Arabidopsis thaliana: one gene and its partners. The protein of the gene in region 2 interacts with the protein of the main gene of each other region in a pairwise test. Each region holds a gene or a part of one and is shown on either strand. Other genes may lie near its edges. The genes, in order: HOS3-1, AT3G53190 and GUT2.

What was found.
Region 1: the proteins of AT3G53190 (region 2) and HOS3-1 interact in a protein complementation assay, tested with the Arabidopsis thaliana proteins (one large-scale study listed by BioGRID).
Region 3: the proteins of AT3G53190 (region 2) and GUT2 interact in a protein complementation assay, tested with the Arabidopsis thaliana proteins (one large-scale study listed by BioGRID).

Annotation. Positions count from the first base shown.
Region 1 is NC_003075.7:17,345,406-17,353,095, forward strand, and holds HOS3-1 (GNS1/SUR4 membrane protein family), read left to right. Parts: upstream 1-3,812; 5' UTR 3,813-4,105; coding exon 4,106-4,880; coding exon of another isoform or gene 4,881-4,975; exon of another isoform or gene 4,976-5,222; intron 5,223-5,376; coding exon 5,377-5,528; 3' UTR 5,529-5,758; downstream 5,759-7,690. Other genes in the region: AT4G36820 (calcium uniporter (DUF607)), read left to right, coding at 1,484-2,041, 2,131-2,589; AT4G36840 (Galactose oxidase/kelch repeat superfamily protein), read left to right, coding at 6,761-7,477. UniProt on the Arabidopsis thaliana protein: Probable very long-chain fatty acid (VLCFA) elongase that controls VLCFA composition and functions to inhibit abscisic acid (ABA)-mediated stress responses, including regulation of stomatal aperture, maintenance of primary root growth and inhibition of germination.
Region 2 is NC_003074.8:19,710,398-19,719,992, forward strand, and holds AT3G53190 (Pectin lyase-like superfamily protein), read left to right. Parts: upstream 1-3,401; 5' UTR 3,402-3,773; coding exon 3,774-3,913; intron 3,914-4,118; coding exon 4,119-4,373; intron 4,374-5,144; coding exon 5,145-5,353; intron 5,354-5,728; coding exon 5,729-5,979; intron 5,980-6,071; coding exon 6,072-6,263; intron 6,264-6,452; coding exon 6,453-6,661; intron 6,662-6,944; coding exon 6,945-7,140; 3' UTR 7,141-7,343; downstream 7,344-9,595. Other genes in the region: NodGS (nodulin/glutamine synthase-like protein), read left to right, coding at 1-90, 167-399, 483-625, 729-791; MYB27 (myb domain protein 27), read right to left, coding at 8,029-8,390, 8,471-8,571, 8,656-8,785, 8,874-8,997.
Region 3 is NC_003070.9:9,526,023-9,534,419, reverse strand, and holds GUT2 (Exostosin family protein), read left to right. Parts: upstream 1-2,930; 5' UTR 2,931-3,206; coding exon 3,207-3,300; intron 3,301-3,511; coding exon 3,512-3,900; intron 3,901-4,153; coding exon 4,154-4,395; intron 4,396-4,641; coding exon 4,642-5,155; 3' UTR 5,156-5,453; downstream 5,454-8,397. Other genes in the region: APT1 (adenine phosphoribosyl transferase 1), read right to left, coding at 613-669, 763-821, 906-1,055, 1,382-1,549, 1,717-1,827, 1,918-2,067, 2,219-2,378; AT1G27435 (uncharacterized protein), read left to right, coding at 5,606-5,752, 6,366-6,464; AT1G27430 (GYF domain-containing protein), read left to right, coding at 7,492-7,558, 7,960-8,030, 8,200-8,397. UniProt on the Arabidopsis thaliana protein: Involved in the synthesis of the hemicellulose glucuronoxylan, a major component of secondary cell walls. Probably involved in the elongation of glucuronoxylan xylosyl backbone, especially in the formation of GlcUA side chain of xylans.

The DNA of each region.
Region 1 (7,690 bases), on a different chromosome or scaffold from region 2:
CCACCAACCTAAAACCATATACATCGATTCACCAACTCTCTTATTGGAATCAATGCGATATTCGATCTCAATCTTGTTGTACGATCGACTTCTGCATAGGATTTGCTACATTTGCTCCGTACACAACTTGCCGTTTTATTTATTTATTTAAAATCAATTTTTTACTCATATAAGTAATAAAATTTTATGGTGTATAATCAATGTGTAATGGCTTCCGTTCTTTTCGGAATATCCGTGTCTTGTGGTGTTGGTACAGGTAGCGTGAAAAATTTAGGATTTTTATTCTCACTTTCTTAATAATATCTTTCATTTTTTTTTTTTTGTGAATCTATGTTTTCAGTTCATTTCCTATTCATATATGCCATGTGCTGATGTGCATAGATTCGTCTAATAAGAATATCACATTATAAAAAATATTCTAACGTACGTGAAAATTAGATGTACCAAAATGGTTTATGTGATGTCTCATGTCTTAATTAGACCGAGATAATCGTTGAGTCGGAACTATGTAGTATAAAATAAGTTTGTTGACATAGCAAGGCATATTTAAACAGGGTTTACATGATCTTGATTTAAACACACACTAAATTTTTATTATCTCCATCACCATCAAATTTGAATCAGCAGTACAACCAAGATAACATGTATTTGGATTTAAACGTAAATATCAGGTTTATCATTTTAATTCTACGTGTTTATAAATTATAGAGAAAATTATATTTTAATTCTACGTGTTTATCATTAATTTTATTATTTATTTTTTCAACATGTTTATCCGGTGATGCTATTTTGAAAAACAAATTTGTAGATAAAACAGAAAATGTGGCGACACGTCCGTGTGTTTAAATTTACTGAATTACCTAACCAGACACAGTAGTTACATCCACATTACATCACATTTGTTATCTCTTTATTAGGTGTGCAAAGGATAAAAACGAAAAATGTGGCAACACGTCATTGTTTCAAATATTTACTAAGTTTTCCTTATATAGACATTATTACATCTCAAAAAATCATCTCTTCAACATTACCATTTACTACTAGATGCAAGAGATAATAACAAGATAAAACAGAAAATGTGGCGACACGTTTTTGCCTTTCTTTTTAATTCTGTTGTGTAATTTACTCATAGTCAAATAAGTTATCAAGATATTATATCTTTTTAAAATTTAATCGGACGGTTATTGAGGCATCGAAAGCTATCACCAACATAAATCTATCCACGTGGACGGTAGTCACCTATCAATATTCACGAAAAGGCAGCGTTTATTGAATTTCTCGTGATATATCTGCTGACGTGTATAAGGCCCCACAAGATTTATGTTAAACGTAAAATTAAAACTGTAACAGAGAACTTTGGTTACCTATATAAAGCTCGCTCTTGCTGTTTCATTTTTTCAAGTAGTAACTGAAATCGAATTCATTTTCTTCTCTTCCTTTCTGGGATTTCGATTTTTCGTATTTTTTTTTTGTTCTGTTCGTCATGGTGATGATGAAGAAGCTTTTGTCGAACCGTTTGTTCAATATGTCAAAAACGGCGTCGCAAAGTCTCATGAACTGTCGTACTTCGTCTTCTTCTTCGTTAGCCATGCGAACTAGGGTTCCTAAAGATATAGGAGAAGCCACGATTGATCCAGAGCCTGGAGATTTGACGATTTCTCAGAGGTTTTTGAATAAATTCTCCATGAATGGGATTGATACGACTTCGAAGATGTCTATTGGGGAGAGTCTGATGGAGAAGCTTAAAGAAATGGATATGAACAAGGATCGGATTCGATTAGACGGACTTTCTCATCCGAAGGAGGAGACGTTAGGGCTTACTGTGCAAGACGTGAAGAAGTTGCTAAGAGCAGCAGAGATCGAAGTTATTAAAACGAAGCTGATGGAGACAGGAAAAATCTGGATTCGTTACTCAGATTTCTTAGGTGTTTGTAGTGATTCTTCTTTGGATCCTTCTCAAGGAGCTTTGATCGCTAAGATGCTTGATGATTCAGGAAACGTTATCGTTATGGGAAACTCTGTTTGTTTAAGACCTCATCAGGTAACTTCTTCCTCCTCTTTGCTTTTTTTTACCATTTGAATTCTTTTTTGTCTATGCAATTCTCTGATAAGGTCTTGTGTGTTGATCAGTTAACCAAATCCATAGAGGGGCTTCTTCCTTTATCACAAATCCATAACCCGAATGACCCAAGAAGAAAGGAGCTAAATGAGCTTGAAGCTATAAAGACGGTCATTGACCAAAAAGCACATTCTTTGGTGAGAAGAGAGCTTTGGGCTGGTTTGGGTTACTTGATCATCCAAACCGCAGGGTTTATGAGGCTAACGTTTTGGGACCTGACATGGGATGTTATGGAACCGATCTGTTTCTATGTCTCATCGGTATATTTCATGGCGGGTTACACATTTTTCCTCAAGACATCGAGAGAGCCTTCCTTTCAAGGTTTTTACCAAAGCAGGTTTGAGGCTAAACAAAGGAAACTGATGCAATCTGAGGATTTTGATGTTGGGAGGTATGATGAGCTGAAAAAGCTGTTTAATCCCAAGCCTTCAGGTGCTGTTCCCAAGATTCTTGGATCTCTACAGAATTGATCATTGGTGTCTCGTTGTCCTACTAACCTGAGAAAGATATATTGACCCCCAAAATTGTGTCAAACTATAATTTTTGAATATTTCATAATCTTTCTAGGAAAATAGGAAAAAGACAAAAAAAAAAAAAAAAAGTTCTATTAGTGCGGCTTATGTAATTTGGAAGAGTAGATAAAAGAATCGATTGTGATGTAGATTTATAAATTTCAAGTCTGACTTTCTGAATGTTAAATGTTACAATACTTCCATGCATATGCATATGAGATATCATTACTTTAAACATGTTATCTATACCAAAAACTCAACAAAACCTTGTCATTTGAGGCCTAAATCTTAGTTGAAGCCAATTCCGAAATTAGTTTTAGTTTTAACTTAAATGATTTTTAGTTTATAAATTAAACAAGTATAACATATGCTTAATGATTGTTTCGGCGGGCTTACATAAATGATTGATAGAACATGTTATGCGTGGGAGTAGTCGTTGTAAGTTCACCGTCCAAGTCTCCTTTTAATTAATTCACGAGAAATCAACTACGACCGTGTAAATAAAATACTTAGTTTGGTAGGTCAAGAATCACTTCTGGAAAATGAGACTAAAGAAAAGAGTCACTTGTGGAAAATACTATCAAGTGGACAAAACCAAATTCCTCATAGTGAAAAAGAGATATATTACACTGTTCCTGCCGCATTTGTTTGGTACGTATCTAATATTTTTGTTTACTCACGTGGTACTATAACGCTTATTGCCAATATAACGATTAGGACAATTTGATTTCTACTAATTTTATTTGATACGTATCAAATATCTTCTGTCTTAGCTGGTCATCAAATTGTGTGAAATAGTAATTTAATACTAACTCGTTACTGATTACTGATGTAGATTCATCTTCGTAACGATCGCCCGATCCATATTCCAATATTTGCATTTTGTTTTACGTAATGCACTCTTTCTCATCTGTAGCTCCTTGAGTAAAACTTAAAACTTAACCATGAAGGCATCTGTAAATTGACGCTTGTCTGAATTTCTCAACACCAAACTCTCTTTCGTGTCTAGAGGTTCTTTGGTTTTCCCACCTGCTTTTCGATTATGGTAATGGTCAACTTGACGCGTACCAAGTTTTCTGATCTTTTTGAAGATATTTCAAATATGGTTTGCTATTTCGATTTTCGACAATAACAGTAAAACCCCATTAAGACCATAAATCTTAAAAATTTTCATAACCGTTTTACAATATTCATTTATGTAGCCAAATTAAATTTGTCACGTAAATGTGACAATTAATATTGGTCCACATCATTTTGCTTTCATGACAAGACCGGCCATTTAGTGACCTACTGTATGTTCTACAACAATTATTGGAAAATGGAAATTAAATATCCCAACAAAAAAAATAAGAGCAGAAACAGAGATTCACTTTGCGAAAAAGTCGCACGCACACATATAAAAGACAGGACTAGAGGAACAGAGGAAGAAGAAGAGTCACTGTGATCACCACCACCGTACGATCAAATTCAAACTATGTCAACGGCTCTGATTAACTCTATTACCTACTTCCTCTCCGAACATCCATACATCGTCGGATTCCGTTGGAGTAACAGCCAATCATGGGGCTCCACGTGGTCTTTCCTCTTCACATCAATCTCCCTCTATATCGCCGTCTCATCCTCCCTCCACATCCTCCTCTCCGCCGTACGCCGAAGTAACCGTTCCGTTCCTTTAGGTCACATCCCCGAAATCCACAGCCTTCTCATGTCGATCCTCTCCGCCACCATTTTCGCCGGAATCCTCCTCTCCGCTGCCGCAGAGATCCGTGACACACGGTGGTTATGGCGGCGGAGCAAAACCGCCACTCCTCTCCAATGGCTTCTCTGTTTCCCTCTCGGGACTCGTCCCTCTGGTCGTGTCTTCTTTTGGTCATACGTGTTTTACCTCACGCGCTTTCTCCACATGTTCCGTACGATTTTCGCCGTTTTACGTAGCCGGAGGCTCGCCGTGTCTCAGCTCTTTTGTAACTCCGTCATGGCCTTCACGTCTTTCCTCTGGCTAGAATTCTCGCAGTCGTACCAGATTCTAGCGATTCTATCGACGACTCTGGTTTACTCGGTGGTTTACGGTTATAGATTCTGGACCGGGTTTGGTTTACCCGGTTCGGCTTTCCCTTCGTTTGTGGTGAATTGTCAGTTGGTTCTCGTGGGCTGTAATCTCGTGTCTCACGCTGGGGTTCTTACGATGCACCTCTTTAAAGGTGGATGCAATGGGATTGGCGCGTGGGGTTTAAACTCGGTTCTCAACGGTGCGATTTTGTTGCTTTTTCTTAACTTTTATGTGAGAATGCATTCGCCAATGCGACGCCATATTAATAAAATGAATAGCCAACGTAACGCTTAAGAATTAATTGATCCTTTTTACTAGTTTTTACTTTTTACTCAATAAAACAAATCTAATCTTCTTTTTTGTCTTTCACTTTTAAAACTGAAGTATAATCTAATTTGTTTTCTAATAACTAAAATGTTCTGCGTCTAGGTCTGTACATCTTCTCAAACCGGGACAATTTTTTTTTTATAAACCATCGATCTCTGACTTTGCATGAGATATTTTACATTTGAACTATTGGCTCTTAGTTAACGCAATCTAGTTCTTGTTTTTCATTCTTTTAAATCTAGTTTTGTGTTTTTTAAGTGGAAAGAAATTATGTCGATTATTTATAAATATATCTTTAAAAATATTTATTTATTTCATAAGAGGTTTTTGATCCAAAGACTCAAACTTGGGGTAACTTTATGACGTAGATATACCACAATACCCACCAAAATGTGGTGATAGAGGAAACAAAGGTTTACATGGTGGATCATGGACGAGGATGATCAAAAGCTTATACTCTTTACCAAGTGAAAATGCATTTTGGATAAGAGGAAAAATTATTAAAAGCGAGAAAACATAATATGGTTTGAGACTGATGTGTTAGATTGTAAGAGCTGCAATTGTATCTCTCTACTTGGGGACACACTTTTGATTTTCTATTTACCGTTTGAATGCCGTATAAGGAAATGTACAGGTCAAACGAATATGGTCGAGTGTTCGCCTTAGACCATTGTATAAGGAAATGAACTATGTCGACTATATTTAATATTTGGGCCTAGTATAATATTACTACACTTAATCAAAGTTAAGGCATTTATAACTGTAGAACAAGATGGGCCTAAGGCCACGGTTTTCTACTTAACTAGGCACACATATGACATATCCCATAGTAAAAAAGCTTACATAATAAGGCCCACATCTGAAATCTGATTCTCCACTGTAAAAATAAAATCCTCTTAAGCTCTCGATCGATGGTTCTGCAATCTCACAAACCAGAAACAAAGAGTCCAGGCTCTTGCAACCAACCGCGGAACTTGTTGAAAGGCGACGAGGAGAGAGAATTTCAAATCTCTCCAGATCAAAGTGAAACACAAGTACAACAAGTAACCGACAAAGTGAAGCGCAAGTACTTGTTTCTTTCCTTTTCCTTTAATATTTGTTAATTTGAGAAAAGTAAAAACCATAAAATATATATAGTTTCTGTCCGAATCGGCCTATCTTCACAAAATCTCGATTCCAATCAAGAATTTATGGCAAGAAAGGTCGATCAATCAATCAGATGATTATGGATCTAGAGATCTCTAAATTTGTGTTGTTGTGAATTGAGAATGCGAGAGCATTCGACGATGTACAATTACGCCCCCGAAGTGCCACCGCAAAGTAAAAGGAAGAAGACGATGAATGAGGCGTCTCCGTCGTGGTCTGGATTACCGGATTCTGTGGCTGTGAGTTGCATGGCTCGCGTCTCGAGATTGGACCAAACAGCCTTATCTCTCGCTCCAAGAAATACCGCTCTCTCGTAACATCCCCTGAGCTCTGCAGCACGCGATCGCTGATTGGTTGCACTGAGCCATCTTTCTTCGTCTGCTTGCGCATCTTACCTGATCCAACCCCTCGCTGGTTCGTCCTTACGGGTAGTCGTCGACTGAGGCCGGTCCCATCGCACCCCTATCAGGCTCCGGAATCATCTTCTTTTGTGGTAGTGAATTGGGGGATCTATGTTATGTAATCGGTGGAATCATAAACGGCAATCCCACTTCCGATGTCTTGTTCCTCAACTGTTTTTCTCAGACATGGCACCGCGTCCCGTCTATGAAGATGGCTCGTGCTTCCGCATCGGCAAGCCTCATAGACGGGAAGATCTACGTTTTTGGAGGGTGCCCAGAGGACGCTGATTCCTCAAACTGGGCGGAGGTATTCGATCCAGTTTACCAAACTTGGGGTATATTTAATACGCCGAAGATGGCCCATAGTATCAACCAAAGTGTGGTGATAGAGGAGAAGAAGGTTTACGCCGTGGATGAGGAGGACCAAAGCTTTAGCTTCTTGCCAAGTGAAGGTAGAATCTGGAAAAGCGGAAAAAAAGATTCTAAGGTAGGAAGTAGACACGATTGGTGTGTCATTGGGAAATTACTATACTGTCGTGCTACTCGCGGTAGAATACTATGGTGCCAACCAGATGAGTTGGACTGGAAAGAGGTAAAAGGTTTGGAACAGCTACAATTGTATCTCTCTGGTACAAGATACATCTTCAGACGTACCTCTGATAAACGACCGTCAAAGACCAACGTCAAATATGATATTAGAAAAATCTCTAGTAACTCTGCTGGGAACATTGTCATCTTCGGGAACGCACATATTGGAGACCCTGAGTGTGTGGAGCTTTGGTCTGCCGAGATTTCCATGGAGAGGCGCGAGGGAGGTGAGATTTGGGGGAAGATTGAGTGGTCCAATGTTGTCTTCAAACTTGATCCTCTCTCAAACTCATATAGCGTTGATGTCTTATTTTCTGCTTCTGTCCATTTGTGATATATTCATTCCAATATTTATTTGTATTGCATATTACTCAACGAATCAGATTGTGGGATATAAGCATATAGTAGGCAATTAATCATTTAACAGTAACAACATAACAGTTAGAGCCTCTTTCTTTTAAGAGGTATGTGGTGGAATTTGATGCTGAATTCTCATTAATGACTCGTTACCAACATAACAGGTAAAACCAACGTATCTTGACCCTTC
Region 2 (9,595 bases):
TGGAATCTCTTCCGTTGGAGAAGAGTTCATGGCCGGAGTTCTATTTCATCTTCCATCAATCTTAGCTATTATAGCTCCACTCCCAAACAGGTAACTCGAAAACCGTACTTTTCGAGTAATTTCCTCAATTGTTATTAAAAGTTGTGTGTGTCACTTAAATTTCCAGCTACGACCGAATCCAACCTAATACATGGAGTGGAGCATTCCAATGTTGGGGCAAAGAAAACCGCGAAGCAGCGTTAAGAGCAGCTTCTCCACCAGGAACTCCTGATGGTTTAGTTACTAACTTTGAGATAAAGTCTTTTGATGGCTCTGCAAATCCTCACCTTGGTTTGGCTGTTATAATGGCTGCTGGTATTGATGGTCTCCGGCGACATCTTCAACTTCCTACTCCAATAGGTAACTAAAAACTTATGTTATTCATTCTCATGTATATGTAGTGTTAATATGAAGCTTGATCTTGAGTTGTTCGGATGGAACAGATATAAATCCGGCGGATGTGGCTGCTACATTGAACAGACTTCCGGAAACGCTCTCAGAAGCTGTTGAAGCTCTGGACAAAGACAAAGTTCTCCACGATTTGCTCGGACAAAAGCTTTTAGTTGCCATAAAAGGAGTCCGTAAGGTAACACTATAGTCTTTTAGTTTCCCATTAGATTCTCAGTGGTAACAAAGTACATTAGCACTAATCTATTGTTTTTGTCTTTTTAAATTTTTTTGTGTAACAGGCTGAGGTCGAGTATTATTCGAAGAATCCGGATGCATATAAGCAACTCATTCACCGATACTAATCCTTTGAGCATCTCTATGATGATTGTTGGATCATTTGGTTTTATTGTGGACTTTGTGTCACATGAAGGGTCGTATTTGCAAAATACTTGACATAAAGATGTGGTTCAGAAAATTAATAAACTAAATTTCATATTTCGAGACGCATGCTCATGCTGGAGTACTATTTGTATTTCTTACTTTTTCGTCCCATGCTTTCAAAAGCCTCAAGAATATACAGAGTATTTTCAATAATACGGAGTAGTTCTTAATCATTTACATTTGTCTATGAATTGAATTTGACTACTAATACTCGGAAACAAAAAAATGATTGTAGTATTAGGAGCGCAAATACCCTTTAACCATTGTTCTTTCCATGTTCTTAGTCCGGCTATTGTTATCTAGGTAGGTGCCTGATCCCTTTTTTTCAAATCTTTCTTATTCATTACTTTGACTAATTAACCTATTTAATCATATTTAATCTCCCTTTAATCTGCAAACTAAAGCACATGTTTTTTTTTATGAAAGAAAAGGTTAGTATGACATTCTTTTGGTAAATCTCATCATATTATTTATTTAATTTTAAGAAATTGGAGTTTAAAGTGTAATTAAGTTATGCTACCTAGCTAATTTCCTTAAAATATGAACGATAAGTATAGAAATTAAAGTAAAGATTAGGTTTATACGGTACGCTTATTATGCTCAAACAAGTGGACGAACAAAATCCATCTCCATGTGACTATGGAAGAGAACTTATTAATAAGTCCAAATTTTTTTCTTGCAAACTTTATGATTTCATTCACACTAGACAAATTAATTGTTCGTAAGAAGGTATACGTACAACATAATGAGCTTTTACTGCTTCCCTTTGCAAACGAATCAGCTAAAACTTTACAGATTTATATGTTCAAGGGAAACTATAACTAAGATTTGAAGGAAAAATCTAACCTTTCTACTACAACAATAAAAGTCAATGCAAGGTCCTTTGAAAAGAATCTTGTTGTCGCATGCATGTACGTAATTTTGTAGTCAAATGTACGAATGATAGATATATGGGGTCAAAACGTTAAAATCCAGCCTAAGAAAGACAGAGATTTACTCTAAATCTTCCAAACCAACGTTATCAATTTTGTTGTTAACATTCAATTGACTTTGCTGTTAATTTTGGATTGTAGAATCGAATTAAAATGAAAATACAAGGTGAAAACGAGACAATAGCGTGAAACTGCTTTGCGTATATATCAAGTATCAACAGTTTTGTTTCGTTTTTGTTGGTTTGCGTTGGGATAAGAAACCGGCATTTTGTACATGGTTCAATTTTGTAATACCTAAACCAATTTCCGGTTTAAGTGGTTTATTAATATGATAAAATAAAATAAATATTTTTTACAAAAATACATAGATAGGACCATGGGTCCATGACGCTTTGACAAGAGCCAATAAAGGATTTACTGTAAAATCAGTAACTTTATTGACAAACAAAAAATGCAGCTATAAGTTGTCCCCACCGTATATTACAAAGATTCGAATACTTTAATAATACAAGCTAAAGAATAAAGAGCAAGAGCCTTTGACTATTTCCACTTATAAGTTTTCCTCCGAGACCGAGAGAGATCAGAGATGGAGCAGATTATTTCACCACGCTCCGGTCAAATATATATTTCTTCTGTTTTAGGCCTCAGCAAAAACCACCTCCATAGTTGTTATGTTGGATACTACGACAATTTAGTGAAGAAGTGGTCTCAATCTAAATTATCATTCTGGATAATGACAAATTGATAAAAGATGCATACTATTACAAAAGTTGAGAAAAGAAGATTACTTTACGTAATGTAGGCGTTTTAATGAACTCCTTAATTTCATCGTTCGTGGAAAATAATAACACAAGCAAAGCAATGACTTTTATGGACACTATGATTGGTTACAATGATCTTATTGAACATGTGAGGAGGCAAAGTGTATATCCTTATATCTATAATGTTTTTTTTTCTTTCTTCTCCAAAGATGTCGCCTAACATCACGTTATTTAACACTACATTTAGCTTACATTAGTAATCTAAAAACAACTTTAATAATAATCCAACAATCACGCCTTATTTAACCAATCCTAATTTATGAAAACATACTCATGTATGATTGTTTGTGCGCATGTGTATATGAGTATATGGACACAGTAGGTTTCTTTCCTTGGTTGGATAGATATGGTTACAAACTTGCAATAGTGGCAGGTAGTTAGACCTGCGGTTCCTAAACTCCGAATAAATACGTGCGGTTCAACTGCAATGCAGTTCTAATAATAACGAATATATATATATATATAGATAATTTTGTTACTATTGGAACATGTGGTTAGGTTACAATTTCAAACCCTAATTATTGATTTTGGTAATTTGGATGTATTCATATTCCTGTTGGTTTTGGTCTACTCAAAATGTTAGTAAATCTCTTATGGGATGTATCGAATTAACTTAAAACTCTTTTTTCTGGTCCAGAAACCCATTAATACTAGCATTCATATTGTATAGCACTATAGCTCGTGGGGTTATTATAACGTCACATCACTTTTTTGTAATAAAAGTTGAAAAACCTGACAAGAATTCAAATATTAAAGCCTATCCTTAGTTAAAATCTGTTAAGGCTTATGAATATCCTTATCTTATGTGAGTAATTAGGTTAATTAGATATTAGTACAATAAAAGAAAAAAGGAAAAATTGAAGACCGTTTCCTCGAGACAAGCAGATTCTCAATCCTCGAGACTGTCAGTGGAAAACAACTTCACTCTCTCTCTTCAAAAAGAAAAACAAAAATACAAAAGCCAAGGAAAGCCATTATTACAAAAGCAATAACACACTGTAAAAAAGCCACTCACGAACACTCCTCAGTAACCAGAGAGAGAAGAAGAAGAACAACAAGCCATGTCTTAACTCTTAACTAATCTCTTCTTCTCCCTCCATTTCACCAACCAAAAACCCTAAAATCCTTAAAATCACAAGTTTCTTCAGCAATGATGCTTCAAAGAAGCTGCATTGTACTTTTCTTCTCTCTTTTTCTGTTGGTTCCACAAATGGTTTTCTCGATGCTCAACAGAACTCTTCTTCTCATACCACATCCTGACCCGGAACTAGTCGCTTATCAAGTTCAGTGGTACACTTACTACATTGCCTCTTCTGGATCTACATTTACTCTCTTTTTTCAACTTCTTTAATGTAATTTTTCCATCTGGTTATTACATTTGACAAGCTATTTTCATGTCTTCTTGTGAATCTGAGGTTTTTCTGTTTTCCTCTGTTTTGTTCTGTTCTCTTAAACCGGAAAGACTTTAATAATACGGTTTGTAACTGTTTTGCAGGAAAGTAAATGCATCTATAACAAGGCGTCAAGCTCTAGACACGACGGACCAGGCCGGTTCGACCCCGTGTATCACCGGTAACCCAATCGATGACTGTTGGAAATGTGACCCAAACTGGCCCAATAACAGACAAGGTCTAGCAGATTGTGGTATCGGGTTCGGACAGTACGCGTTGGGAGGCAAAGGTGGTCAGTTTTACTTTGTCACTGATTCTTCCGACGATGATGCCGTCAACCCTAAACCGGGCACTCTCAGGTACCTTTCTGTTAACCGACTCAACCGGCTTTCTTGTAAGAAAGTCTTGTATAACATCTTGACAAATAGACAAATATGTGTTGTCTTTTATTAGTTCTAGACAATTATATGATCTTTAATTATCGTGTTTTGACCGTAGCTAGATTTTTTTTATGTTGTTTAGTTAACAACACTAACACTATATACTATACTTGAACATTACATGTCATTATTGTTATTAGCTCTAAACCCTACCTACATACACACTTTCATAATTTAAATCCTATAAGAAAATAAGATTCTGTAAGCTATAAGTTAATCTATTCCAAATTTACTTTTCTCTCTCTCTTTTGTCATCTCATATTCACATGTCCCACACCAATCTATTATGTACGACTTTTTCAATACCACTTGTTTATATTTCTAAATAAACCCTCCGTTTTGTGGAATATTTCCCAACAACCCTGATTTAGTGATTTTTCTTTAAATTCTTCAAAACCTCCTCAAAACCCTCTTTAAACATTTAGAGCTGTATAATTTTGATAAACTAAATCCGTTTTAAAACATAGAAACGTAACGTTTACGATGTTTACACTTGATGTCCCTACATTTTAATTTTAACACTGTACCTGAGAAGCGAATCATATAATAAATCTAAAGAAAAGACAACTATAATAAAACAAGTGTATCAGTCTCTTGGGACATGGGACCTCGAATAATTTTGGGGGAATCTTTATCAATGTCAAAGGAAACGGGTTTACAATGTGAAAATTCTTAAAATTTTGGTGACAGATATGGGGTGATACAAGAAGAGCCATTGTGGATAGTGTTCCCAAGCAACATGATGATTAAACTAAAGCAAGAGCTAATATTCAATAGTTACAAGACACTTGATGGGAGAGGAGCTAATGTTCACATTGTTGGTGGTGGCTGCATCACTCTTCAATATGTCTCCAATATCATCATTCACAACATCCATATCCACCATTGTTACCAATCCGGTAATTAGTTTTAGCTCTTTTCACACTTTCTCTTATCTCAAATTATGTATACTCCAAAAATCAATTATCTTTTCTTTTTTACGGCCAATAATTGTTAGTCTTTTAACTTTTTAACCTTTTTTTTTTCTTGCCCTAATAATTTAGTAGGTCCCTTTTGTTGGTGTACATATTTTCCTTCTCATTGATTGGTGTTTTCACACGCAAACAAAGAAAACATGTTTTGTTTGAATTTATATGCATTTATTGATTTATTCATAAAAGTATGGTAAGCAAGAAAAACAAAGTAAAAACTAAATCTTTCGTCCTTCCTGAAATAGCATTGATTGATTATTCATAAAAGTATTCTGAAAATATGTTTGTTCACGCTTTCGTTAGGGAATACTAACGTGCGGTCAAGTCCAACGCACTATGGGTTCAGAACGAAATCGGACGGTGATGGTATCTCTATATTCGGATCAAAGGACATTTGGATCGACCATTGTTCTCTATCGAGATGCAAGGACGGTCTGATAGATGCGGTAATGGGTTCCACAGGAATAACTATATCGAACAACTTCTTCTCTCACCATAATGAAGTCATGCTTCTTGGTCACAGCGACCACTATGAACCAGACAGTGGCATGCAGGTCAAACACACACTAATCCGTAATATACATTTTCTTAGTGACTACTTTATTTTAAATGAGCGTAATATTTGAATGTTAGTGTGATTTTTCAGGTAACAATTGCGTTTAATCACTTTGGAGAGAAATTGATACAAAGGATGCCGAGGTGTCGACGTGGATATATCCATGTGGTTAATAACGATTTTACTCAATGGGAAATGTATGCCATTGGCGGTAGCGGTAACCCGACTATTAACAGTCAGGGTAACCGCTACACCGCCCCAACCAACCCGTTTGCCAAGGAGGTAACTAAACCCTCCGCATGTTTTCTATAGTCTTGGTTCGTTAGTCCATTCTTAGACTTTGCTTTTGGTTTCATGATGTTTTGAGCTATACCAACTTTATTAGGGATAAATATCCAGCTTGTGAAACTTTCATTAATAAGTGTAATCTTTAAAACATTCATCTTACTAATGGAGAGTGTCATTGTGTAGGTGACAAAGAGAGTGGAAACACCGGATGGTGATTGGAAAGGGTGGAATTGGAGATCGGAGGGGGACATTTTGGTGAATGGAGCCTTCTTCGTGGCATCCGGGGAAGGTGCGGAAATGAGGTATGAGAAGGCATATAGCGTCGAGCCTAAATCCGCCTCATTCATCACCCAAATCACATTTCACTCTGGTGTTCTTGGCGTTGGTGGCAGGTTTGGATTCTACATTTTGTCAATAAATGATTCACTCTTTGCCAAATTTTTCCCTTTGAAAAAGAACATTTCATTTTTTAACAAATCAATACTTTGAAACTTTTATTTTACCAACACAAACCATATTAAAAAATGGTATGTCTACATACCCTTTTGTTTTCTTCTACTTTTGGCTTTAACTTTATTCTTTTTCTTTTGTCTAACTTCTTTTTACCCCACTATTTTCATAATTAACCTCAAAAAGTCAAAATGGAGCTAATTTAGGGTGTTTGATTTGGTACAGGAATAACAATCTGGGGATGTGGACTACTACTGGATCGGAAGGTACTAGCGGTTTAGATTCTTATAATGACTATACCGATGAAATGTCTGGCGCTGGTTCAACCAACCGGTTATCTTTTTCAGTTCTTGTTTTCTTGCTAAGTTCGATATCATATTTGGTCGTGTTCACTTCTTCAACCCAAATGTTTATGTTGTAACATGAATTGAATTTACCTATTTTATCAAGGAACAAGCAAAAAGTTGTTTCCATACTCATTCTTGTGCATTCTTTTCTTCTATGATCTTTATGTAGTTTTAATGGACCTCATAATTTGTAGTTTTACAAAATGTTATAGTTCTTAATAATAATACCACGTGTGTGTTTATTGTATACGTATATGCAATCGTGACGTTGTAATAGTCCTATCCTATCTTTAATTAATTACATAACTAATAGTCTAATAGAGATTAGATATTAATCTTTAGCATTATATTATCTTCTTCCTTGTCTTTTCTAATATACAAGAGGGCGTTCCATACATGCATCTACACTTCATTCGGATCATACCAATATAATCTACTTTAGGATATTGTAATTTAGTATATTGAACATTAAATACTTTTCCCTTGAAAAAATAAAATATAAAACATTTTTAACAAATCATTTGGCACAAAAGTACACTAAAACAATTAAAATTAATTCATATTAAAGGTGAAGCCCATCAACCAATAATGTTAACATAAAAAAACTTATAATTTTTCATCATTGGAGCATGGACTTCTCATGTTTTTGTTGCTGTATATAACAAGACTATACACATCAATGCTATATTTTTACTTAATTTGTTATTATGGATATGTACCTTTATTTTTATTTTATTTTATTTTGTTTAGGAAATTGTTTATTGTGTGAAGATTAACAACTTTATCTTTGACCTTGACTAAACTTGCGATTCAAATTTCATATTGATAACCGATTCAAATTGAGTTCAAATTTTACATATTTGTGTACATTAAGGTTGAATATTGGAACACTTGTTACTTTAATATAGCACTTTCGAATTCAATTATCCATCAGTTAAAAAGTAAATAAACCAACTTTAGAATTATGACCATAGAGAACATGAAAACTCCTCAAAGTCCCTAGTCTCTTGAAACCACCAAGTACCAATGTTAATATTGTTCTCACTGCAGCTATTGCTGCTGTGATCTTCTGAAAGATTTGCTTCACTCTGGTCAGTAGAAATCTCTGATATCCAATCCGAAATCCGATTTTCATACGGTGATTTCATAACACCGAAGCTTTCTCTTCCACCAACACCACCGTTGGCTTCTTTACCACTTTCCATGCTCACAACTTCAACAAAACCATGTTCTTGAGACGTCGTCTTTGTCCTAGTGATCTCTGTTTCCTTATACTTGTGCAACAATTCTTCTCCTGTATTTCCTCTCCACTCAAAGAGCTTTCCTGCAGAAAAACACATCATTTTTTTCAATGAATGCTTATCTAAAACTAACATACATATGCAACAATGAAAGAATATCTACCATAGTTTTGAGCTTCCTGTTTCTTTCTATAATGAGTTCTCCAATAGTTCTTTATCTCGTTATCAGTCCTACCGGGTAATCTTCTCGCAATCTTCGACCACCTATTGATATACAATATTTGATTAATCAAACCGCAAAAAACAATCATGTAAGTACAAGATTCAAGGGTTTTTTTTGTCTCTCACTTGTTACCCCATAGAGCATGGAGCTGAAAGATGATTCTCTCTTCTTCTTGACTCATCGGTCCACGCTTCAGAGTCGGATTCAGATAGTTCATCCACCTTAGCCTGCAACTCTTACCACTCCTCTTCAAACCTATACGTATGAACACAACAAACATATATTTCGGACATGTAAATTTCTATTTTTGGAAAGTGACACAAAATAAGGTTTCAAAGTGTACCGGAAACTATTGCTAAAGAATCCCAACGACGTTCTCCCAAAAGACTAATGACCTTCACTAGCCGTTCGTCTTCTTCTTCGAGCCATGGCCCTCTACGAAGTGTTTCTTCCTTCTTAAAATCCATTTTTCTTTCTTTTACTCTGTTTCTTTGTGTTATTATACTTAATTAAATCCTTTCTAAAATTGTGCTTTGAACTTGTAAGCATGCTTTGGCTTTGCTTAAATAGTAAAGTCATGAGTTTACCCAAATTGGGAAAAATGTCCAAAAAGCTGACGAACACAAATAGTTTAGTGGATAATAACATCATGCATCAGTTAGTTAGGTTCTTGTTTTTCCTTGATCTAGGTCATCTTTTAAGTTATAGATTATAGATTTGGATTAGGTTCCAAGTATCTTTCCTTTTGAATCATCATCAACTTGTGATTTTTTATTATCATTGTCTTCAGGGATTATGGCTTTCATCATCTTAAAATTTAATTAACTAATCTAAGTATCCAATCGGGTTTGGATTTTGGAATTTCAATATCTTAGGGACTTAAAAAAGAAGATAGAAAGAGATGAAACCAGATCTTTTTTCCACTCACTTAAAAGTTTAAGCCAACGAAGCACTCTTAAGTATGATTAGTTAAGTAAATCCCAGTGTTAAGCCTAATCTCATTTTTGCAACAAAGAGAGTTTAAAATCGACGCATCTAATTGAGCCGGTTAATGAAATCTATCAA
Region 3 (8,397 bases), on a different chromosome or scaffold from region 2:
TGTTTTCAACTATAGCATGTTTCAAACATTCCCAAAATACCCTACTGTAATAATTATTGTATACATCTGTATGGAAACGTAACAACATGAAGTAATAATTTTGAGGAAAGAGAGAAGTAATGTTTGCCCAAAAACGAGAGAGAAAAAGAGATTAAATCAAATATGTAATTATTCGTTTTTACTACGCAAACGAGGATCTTACCTAAGTTTATAGATTTGTTACCTTCCTAAGCTTATTGTCAAATTATACTCATCAGCATGGGACATGGACGAGCATTGTGATTTGTGTCCTTACGAGTTGAGAAGAGAAGTAACGAGCAAGGTGCTGCGAAACTTAAAAGAAGAATTGCGTTACCAAGACTTTAGCCCCTGTTGGAGTCTACTATTACAACTTGATTCTATAAATAAAACCCATAACACCTTATTAATCGGGGATTTTAAGTGGAACAATAGGAAACTGCAATCGAATCCTGACATTCAAATGCCATTTTCTAGTCTGAACCAATTATGATAAGTTGAAACAACAAGGATCAAATCCCACGCAAAATGTCTCACCATACATGAAAAATAGCATCAACACTCGATCCAATAACCTTCTCTTCCAGTTTCTTGTTAAGCAGCCGACTTTACAAGAACAAATAGCGACGTCTCTCCTAGTTTCTCCTTTCCCTACAAAACCATTGCAGCCCACATATCTCTTTATAAGCAAATCAGTGTAAGAGATTGGAAGCAGATAGTAAAACAGAGATAAATAAGCTAAACCTTAAGCTCTGGTAACTCAATTACGCAAGCACATTCAACAATCTTCACTCCTACTCGTTCTGCAAAACCAACCAATTGTGGGAGTGAGAAATAGTCAAGTTTAACTGAACTGCATATGCTGCATTATCAAATCTTGGACTTACCAAGTAGTCGGATTGCAGCAGCGAGAGTCCCACCCGTGGCAATGAGGTCATCAATAATAATAGCACGCTCACCAGGCTCTACTGCACCTACGTGCATCTCAATCGTATCTGTTCCATACTCCAACGAATACTCCTCCGAAATAACCTTCCCTGTTAAAGGAACCAAATGCAGAGGCAGTTTAGAAATTAACGTCCATGGATAAACAAGGAATGCGACAATTATTTGACACTGCTCATAAGTTTCCAAATGGCTTAATACATTTCTTGTAACTGGTCAAGATACACAACTAAGTCCATTGATATGTAACAGAAAAAATAACAACCACTTAAGTTACTGCAAGTTACCACAAAGAAAAATGATCTAGCAAATGAGTAGCATCATATTGATCAAAGACACTGCAAGATAAAAGTCACCTTGCTAATGTTCGAGATAATGATAAAGTGTAGACTTGGAGCAAGAAGCCATTTAAACTAACAACTTCCTAATTGAGACCTTTCATGTAACTTAATGTCAAAATCACAAGCAACTAGAGGAAGAAATAAAAATGTACCAGGTAGCTTCTTGGGCTTCCTCATGGGAACAAATTTGGCACCAATAGCCAACGCAATAGGAGGGCCAAAAATGAAACCTCTAGCTTCAACACCTGCATTTACCACAACATCAATTTAGGCAGAACCAAAAATCATCCACCAATTCATTTCAACTTTTCAGTTTAAGCTAAAGCACTCAGTATCTAAAAAGGCCAAAAGAAACTAAATCCACAAGCTGTTAATCGATTGGAGTACCAAACAGAACCATACGAGTTGTTACCTGCAACAACAGATATGCCTTTATCTTTGTATCTATCAACAAACAAAGCAATAGTATCCTTAAAGGCCTCAGTGTCGAGAAGAAGCGTCGTTATGTCCTGAAACATGATTCCTGCCAAGTATCCAAATTAAAACCTTAAGATCCCAACGCAGATCAAGACTAGAGACGATATTAATCGGTATAAATGGAAAAAATGGAGACCTGGTTTAGGGAAGTCGGGGATGACTCTAATGGAAGAGGCAATCTTAGCGATTCTGGGATCTTGCACATCTTCAGTCGCCATTTCACTGTCCCGACTGGCTGCTGCTTTAGCAAAATACTCGGCGTCAGATTTGCAAACACAGAGAGACCCTAAAGACTCAATAGAGAGACACAGTGATGAAAAAATGACCAATTTATCCCGAATGGTAACGCTTTGACGGAATTGCCCCACGCAAGCAAAATATCTTTTTCAAAAGGAAACAAAAAGTTTAAAAGGGAAATAGAAGGTGGTGGGGTCTACCGGCGGAGGAGAAGAGGCGGAGTGAGGTGGTTGAACGGTGGTTTGAGAGGCGGATCGAAGGAGGAGCACGGTGGTGGTTGTTGAGAAGACGGTTGCAAGGAACAGCACGAGCAAGACAGAGACGATGAGAAACAAGTGGAGAAATTATTATTGTTTGCATTGTCTTTGGACTGAGAGATCTTAAAAGAGAATGTAAATTACTTTAAACACGGAATAATGGACAAAAGCCGTGATCAATGACTTTTCAAGTCTTAACCAAACCTATAACTCATCCATTGTTTGTTTTTTCTACATATTTCTTCACATAAAATTGGATGATTTAGAATCTTTCAGAGTGTTCACACTCCAACAGATTATTATCCACAATGTTATGGTTACATTTAGAGATATATAACAATGTTCATTTCATCGTTGCTAATGACATAAAACGATCAAAAACTGAATCATAGTACTTCTTTTACAGTGATCTCAAATATATTAATCGCTAATCAATGAATTATGTCACCTATAATTGTCGTATTACCAACAACTATAAAACATATATATAAAAAATTGTTGTCGTTAACTAGTTGTTGATAGTGGCCACTCTAAAACGATCATGACCTACTACGGAAGTTATAACTAGTCAACGTTGGACGTTAGCAAGGCCCAATGGACATTAACTCAGCCCATAATAGCACGCGCCTTGTGATGTGCACCAGTTTCCGTCTTTGGTCGTTGAATTCAAGGAAAAAAAAAGTACATCACAAGCAATTTCTTACTTATCTGTGACTTGAAGCTATTTCTCCAATTTCGTTTTCCATCGACACTCTATTTCATTTTCACCATTCACGTCTTCCTTCTGAATAAAATAAACCCTAAAACCTAATACCGAAGTAAACTCGTCAACCACTGCGCCCATGACCTCCCAACGATACTCTTCCCTTATATTCTTCCTCTTCCTTCTTCCTTTCTGCGATCCAAACCTTCAAACACATCTCCGGTAGATATGAAAATCCACTCTTGCCTCTCCGCCATTCTTCTGTTCCTCTTCTTCTCTGCTTCTTCCGCTAAACAAAATGTTCGGACAGAGCGAATTTCAGGTACTTGTTCTTCTTGCTCCAGCAGATTGGAATGTAGAGTTGAATTGATTAATCCTTGAGGGTCGCTCAAATAAGTTTGAAATCTGTCGTTTCTCCAGCATTTGGTTTATAGACATATAATTTGATTTGCTTAAGAAGTCAATGCTATTGATTGAGGAACTATGTAACAGCTGTGTAAGAGAGCTCAAAAAGGTGTGTTTTTGAAATGCAGGAAGTGCTGGTGATGTTTTGGAGGATGATCCAGTGGGAAAGCTTAAGGTTTATGTATATGAGCTTCCAAGCAAGTACAACAAGAAATTACTGCAAAAGGATCCTCGATGTCTTACACACATGTTTGCTGCTGAGATTTTTATGCACAGGTTCCTTTTATCTAGTCCTGTTCGAACGCGTAATCCTGATGAAGCTGATTGGTTTTACACGCCAATTTATCCTACTTGCGACCTCACTCCTACCGGCTTGCCATTACCGTTTAAATCGCCGCGTATGATGAGAAGTTCGATACAACTAATCTCATCAAATTGGCCTTATTGGAATCGGACTGAAGGAGCTGATCACTTCTTTGTTGTGCCCCATGACTTTGGAGCTTGCTTCCATTATCAGGTAGATTATCTCTGCATTCAGGAACAAACTCTATTTTTTATATGCATTGAATACTTTGGTGGTTGCTGTTCATCAAGAATACCCTGTGATCTTACAATGATAGATGATCATTAGCTTAAAATTAGCTGTTGTATCATCACATTAGTACTTAGTTACATGGAAACTGAGAATCTGTTTATGAGTTTATTGTATAAGATTGTGGAATATTCCAATGATTTGTGTGGGAATTGAAGATTTGATTGACATTAAACAGGAGGAAAAAGCCATTGAAAGAGGGATACTTCCACTACTCCAGCGTGCCACTTTGGTTCAGACATTTGGTCAAAGGAACCATGTCTGTTTGGACGAAGGCTCGATCACTATTCCTCCTTTTGCACCTCCACAGAAGATGCAGGCCCATTTTATTCCTCCAGATATTCCACGCTCTATCTTTGTCTACTTCCGCGGTTTATTTTATGATGTTAACAACGACCCCGAAGGTGGATATTATGCAAGGTACATATTTTGTAGACTTGTAAAACTCTCAAGTGATGAGTTTTCTCTAGTCTTACATAGATTTTTCAACCAAAATGGAACTGCAAACTCTATAGTATCATACAATAAAAGAAGCACATATACATCAAGATCTACCTATTAAGATAACAATTAAGCATTCCTCATTAGGAAGTTAGGTTATATATAAGGTTAGCTAAGATCAAATTGTTTTAGAATCTGCTGACTGGAACTTCTCTCTTTGTATAGAGGTGCAAGAGCAGCGGTGTGGGAGAACTTCAAGAACAACCCTTTGTTTGACATCTCAACAGATCACCCGACAACATACTACGAAGACATGCAGAGAGCCATCTTCTGTCTATGTCCTCTAGGATGGGCTCCATGGAGCCCTAGGTTAGTTGAAGCAGTTGTGTTTGGGTGCATTCCAGTTATCATAGCAGACGACATAGTACTGCCTTTCGCAGACGCCATCCCCTGGGAAGAAATAGGAGTCTTTGTTGCGGAAAAAGACGTCCCTGAACTAGACACGATCCTAACCTCAATACCAACAGAAGTGATCCTCAGAAAACAGAGACTCCTCGCAAATCCTTCGATGAAACGAGCCATGCTTTTCCCTCAACCTGCACAACCAGGGGATGCATTCCATCAGATACTTAACGGGCTAGCTCGGAAGTTACCCCACGACAAAAGCATATACTTGAAGACAGGTGAGAAGGCACTGAACTGGACTGCTGGTCCGGTTGCTGACCTGAAACCTTGGTAAAGTCAGAAAGAGAGGAATCTTTTTGTATATCTTGGGTTTCACCTAGAGCATACGTTGTTGCCTTTCTATAGCACTTCAAAAACATTAGAAGTCCAAGTCCTCCGAGTGGATTTTTTTTGTAGATAACATTAGTACATTTACTCGAGGTACATGTACCAAGTTTGTTGTACATTTTCTCTTCGATTGATCATATAATACTGTACACTCCTTTTGTCTTGGCTAACTCCAATCATGTAAGTTTCAATGTCCAATAACCTGAAAAGTTATGAAAACATGTGGTAATTAATTTTGTTGTGAATCAAATTAGAATCCTTATTAAAAAAGAAAATTATTTATTCAAAAAAAGCTCGTAGATGAAATGGGCCTAAAGTCTACTAAATGGGCTGATTGAAGGAAAAACTCGAACTAATCTAAGATCTTTGCTCTTGAGAGAGAACGAGAGAGGCGGCCATGGGAGGAGGAATGGGTGCGTTTTGGGGAACTCGAGTGATGGAATTAGTGAAGAAGCACGATTCCGGTGGTCTTCTTTGGAAGCGGATCAAGCTAACCCCTACTCGTAAAGCCAATGCCAAAACCCGCCTCCGTCGTGTTTGGCAGGTACTCTCCTATTCCATTTTTAGGGTTTATGGGTTTTTGAGAGAACATTTCTCTTTTCGTAGTCTAGATCCTCTTATCTGCGTTCACTTCCCTACAATTACCCGCCAAGGATAGATTAGGATTGAATGTATTGATGGATTTTTCGTGTTGAAAGTATTGATGGATTCATTTCAAGATCATCAGTTTCGATTGCAAAATGTTGTTCAGTCTATTGTGATGTGCTCTCCTTAGGTCTGAGTAGATGTAATGAGTTAGGACAAGGCCAACTGTGTAGTTTGTTCTTGGTATATGGCCTTTAGGCTTCTATGTATCTTTCTGTGGAACTAGGAACAGAGTAGGAACACTTGGAATTCATTTTTCCCGGTTTGGTGTTTGGTATCATGCAAAGGTTGTCCATCTCTCAATATGCTTGTGTTATTTTCGAGCTATTTTGGGCTATCTTGTGCATCACAGTGTGTTATACATTTTTTGGTAAAGCTTGTCGATCTACCAAGATGTATGTGGTGATTTTGAGCTCATACCACCTAGGAATTTATAAATATTATAAGACCCAACCCTCCTATATATTCTTCGACGCAAGTATTGTTTTAATAGTTATGAGAGTCTCTTGCAGAATGAGGCTGTTCTAAGGGCGTGTGGTGAATCAGATGCACCAAATCCGCCGGGAGCTAGCAACACAAAAAGCTCTAGCAATGCGGTGAAAAATGCGTAAGGCCGAAGAGAAGCTAGTCCTAGTTTGTAAGGACTCGTAGATCAAGTCTCTGTCGTTACCTGATTTTACAAAAATAATATTTGAACCTTGTGTTTGGTTATTAGTTTTGCAAAAGAAGAGGCACCTCCACACCAAAGCAAAATATGGTATTTGAGTATTGGTGTTTTTTTTTTTATTATTCTTGTCATCAAGAAATTTGTTCGTCGCCTGCTCAATATAGTTCTTTTGGCTACACCCGTTTATCCTTGTCGTGCCTTAGTTATGTTGGCCGTTTAGTGGCTACAAGTGGATATGTTTGTGGAACATTTTTGAAAATCACTTGAAGCACTCTTTTGTTTTTGTTTCTCCGGTTGATCGAAAAAAAGTTTTTGTTTTCTCCGTGATTTTTTTCCTCCGTAATTACATGTTGAAACAACAGGTGAAAATAATCTTGTTGAAAAGTTTCAAGTATTTTTAAACCATCAGTAAATAATTTTTTTATTCAGTTACCACTTTTAATATATTCCTTCTCAATGTATACTATCAAAGTGAAAAAAATACCACTATTATACTCATTAGACCTTTAATGAAACTTTTGATAAAATATTTAAATTGGAACAAAACAGTAAAAGGAAAATAATACTGGAAAATTAAAATGAATACATTAGATGTTTGAATAGAAAGTATAGCATTAATAAATAAACAATGATAAATTAAATAAAAGAAAACCTGGGGTTGACAAAAAAAAAAATGAAAGAAAAAACAAAAAACTGGGCAAAGTCGGATCGGTGTTGTTAAACAAGCAAAGCCCTCCTTAGCCTTTCCTTCCTCTTGCTCCTTCACTCACTCTCGATCTCGACGCGAAATAGCTTTCTCTCTTCCAAAGGCAATTATCGAAAACCTGCAAAAAGTTTCTCCGCCAAGTCTCTCCAAAACCCCTTTCTCATCTCTACTTTTCTTCTTCTTCTTCTTCTTCTACTGCGCTCGCTCCTCGCTCCTCCGTCTCCGTCTTCAACGTAATCTCGAAGTCGGTTGTTTCAATCCTGCCATGGCCGAAGGGAAGTTCGATCTGCCTGACGATCTCATCTTTTCCAAATCTTCTGATCAGCTCAAAGGTACTTCTCTCAATCCTCCTCTTGTTTCTCTTTTTGAATTTCTTTCTCTCTCGACCGATTTGAATGCGGAGAAACAAATGTAATCGTTTGGATTCTGGATCTGAATTCGATAGGATGCGGCAGCTATGAATATCAAACAGATTTATCAAAATTTGACCTAGTATGTGCTGATTAGGGCTACGATATCAATTTTATCCTCTATGGTCCTTGTTATGCCCGCTTTAGACGCATTAGCAACTCCATGTTTGAATTCTTTTGTTACCGATTCTAGACTTTGGGATCTGGAAAGATGAACCAATGACTTTGTTCGTGCCTCTAATTTGGCTATTAGTGGTTTTCTGACTTTGTATCTGTTTGATTTCTCTGATTTCCTTCACCTATTGACTACCTTGTTTTTGCAGAATTGGCCTCAGATAACAGCATTCCCTTGTCTCCGCAGTGGCTTTACACGAAATCAAGCGAGTACAAGATGGTAATACTTAATCTAGAAAGATGATATACGTTTCTTGTCTTCTTCTATTCACCTCATTGTATCAGATGATGCTATGCCTGTTCTTCACATGTAGAAAGTGTCAAGTCCTTTATTTATCTGTAAATTGTTTACTCTTAGTTCTTCATCTGATGTTCTTGCTATGTTGTAGGATGTTCGATCTCCTACTCCTGTTCCCATGGGAAATCCAAGTGACCCAAATCCGAAGGATGCATGGCGCTTGGATGCACCTGAAGACAAAAAGGACTGGAAGAAAATTGTGCATGAGAATGAAACTAGTCGCAGATGGCGTGAAGAGGAAAGAGAAACTGGTTTACTCGGTGCTAGGAAAGTTGATCGACGAAAAACA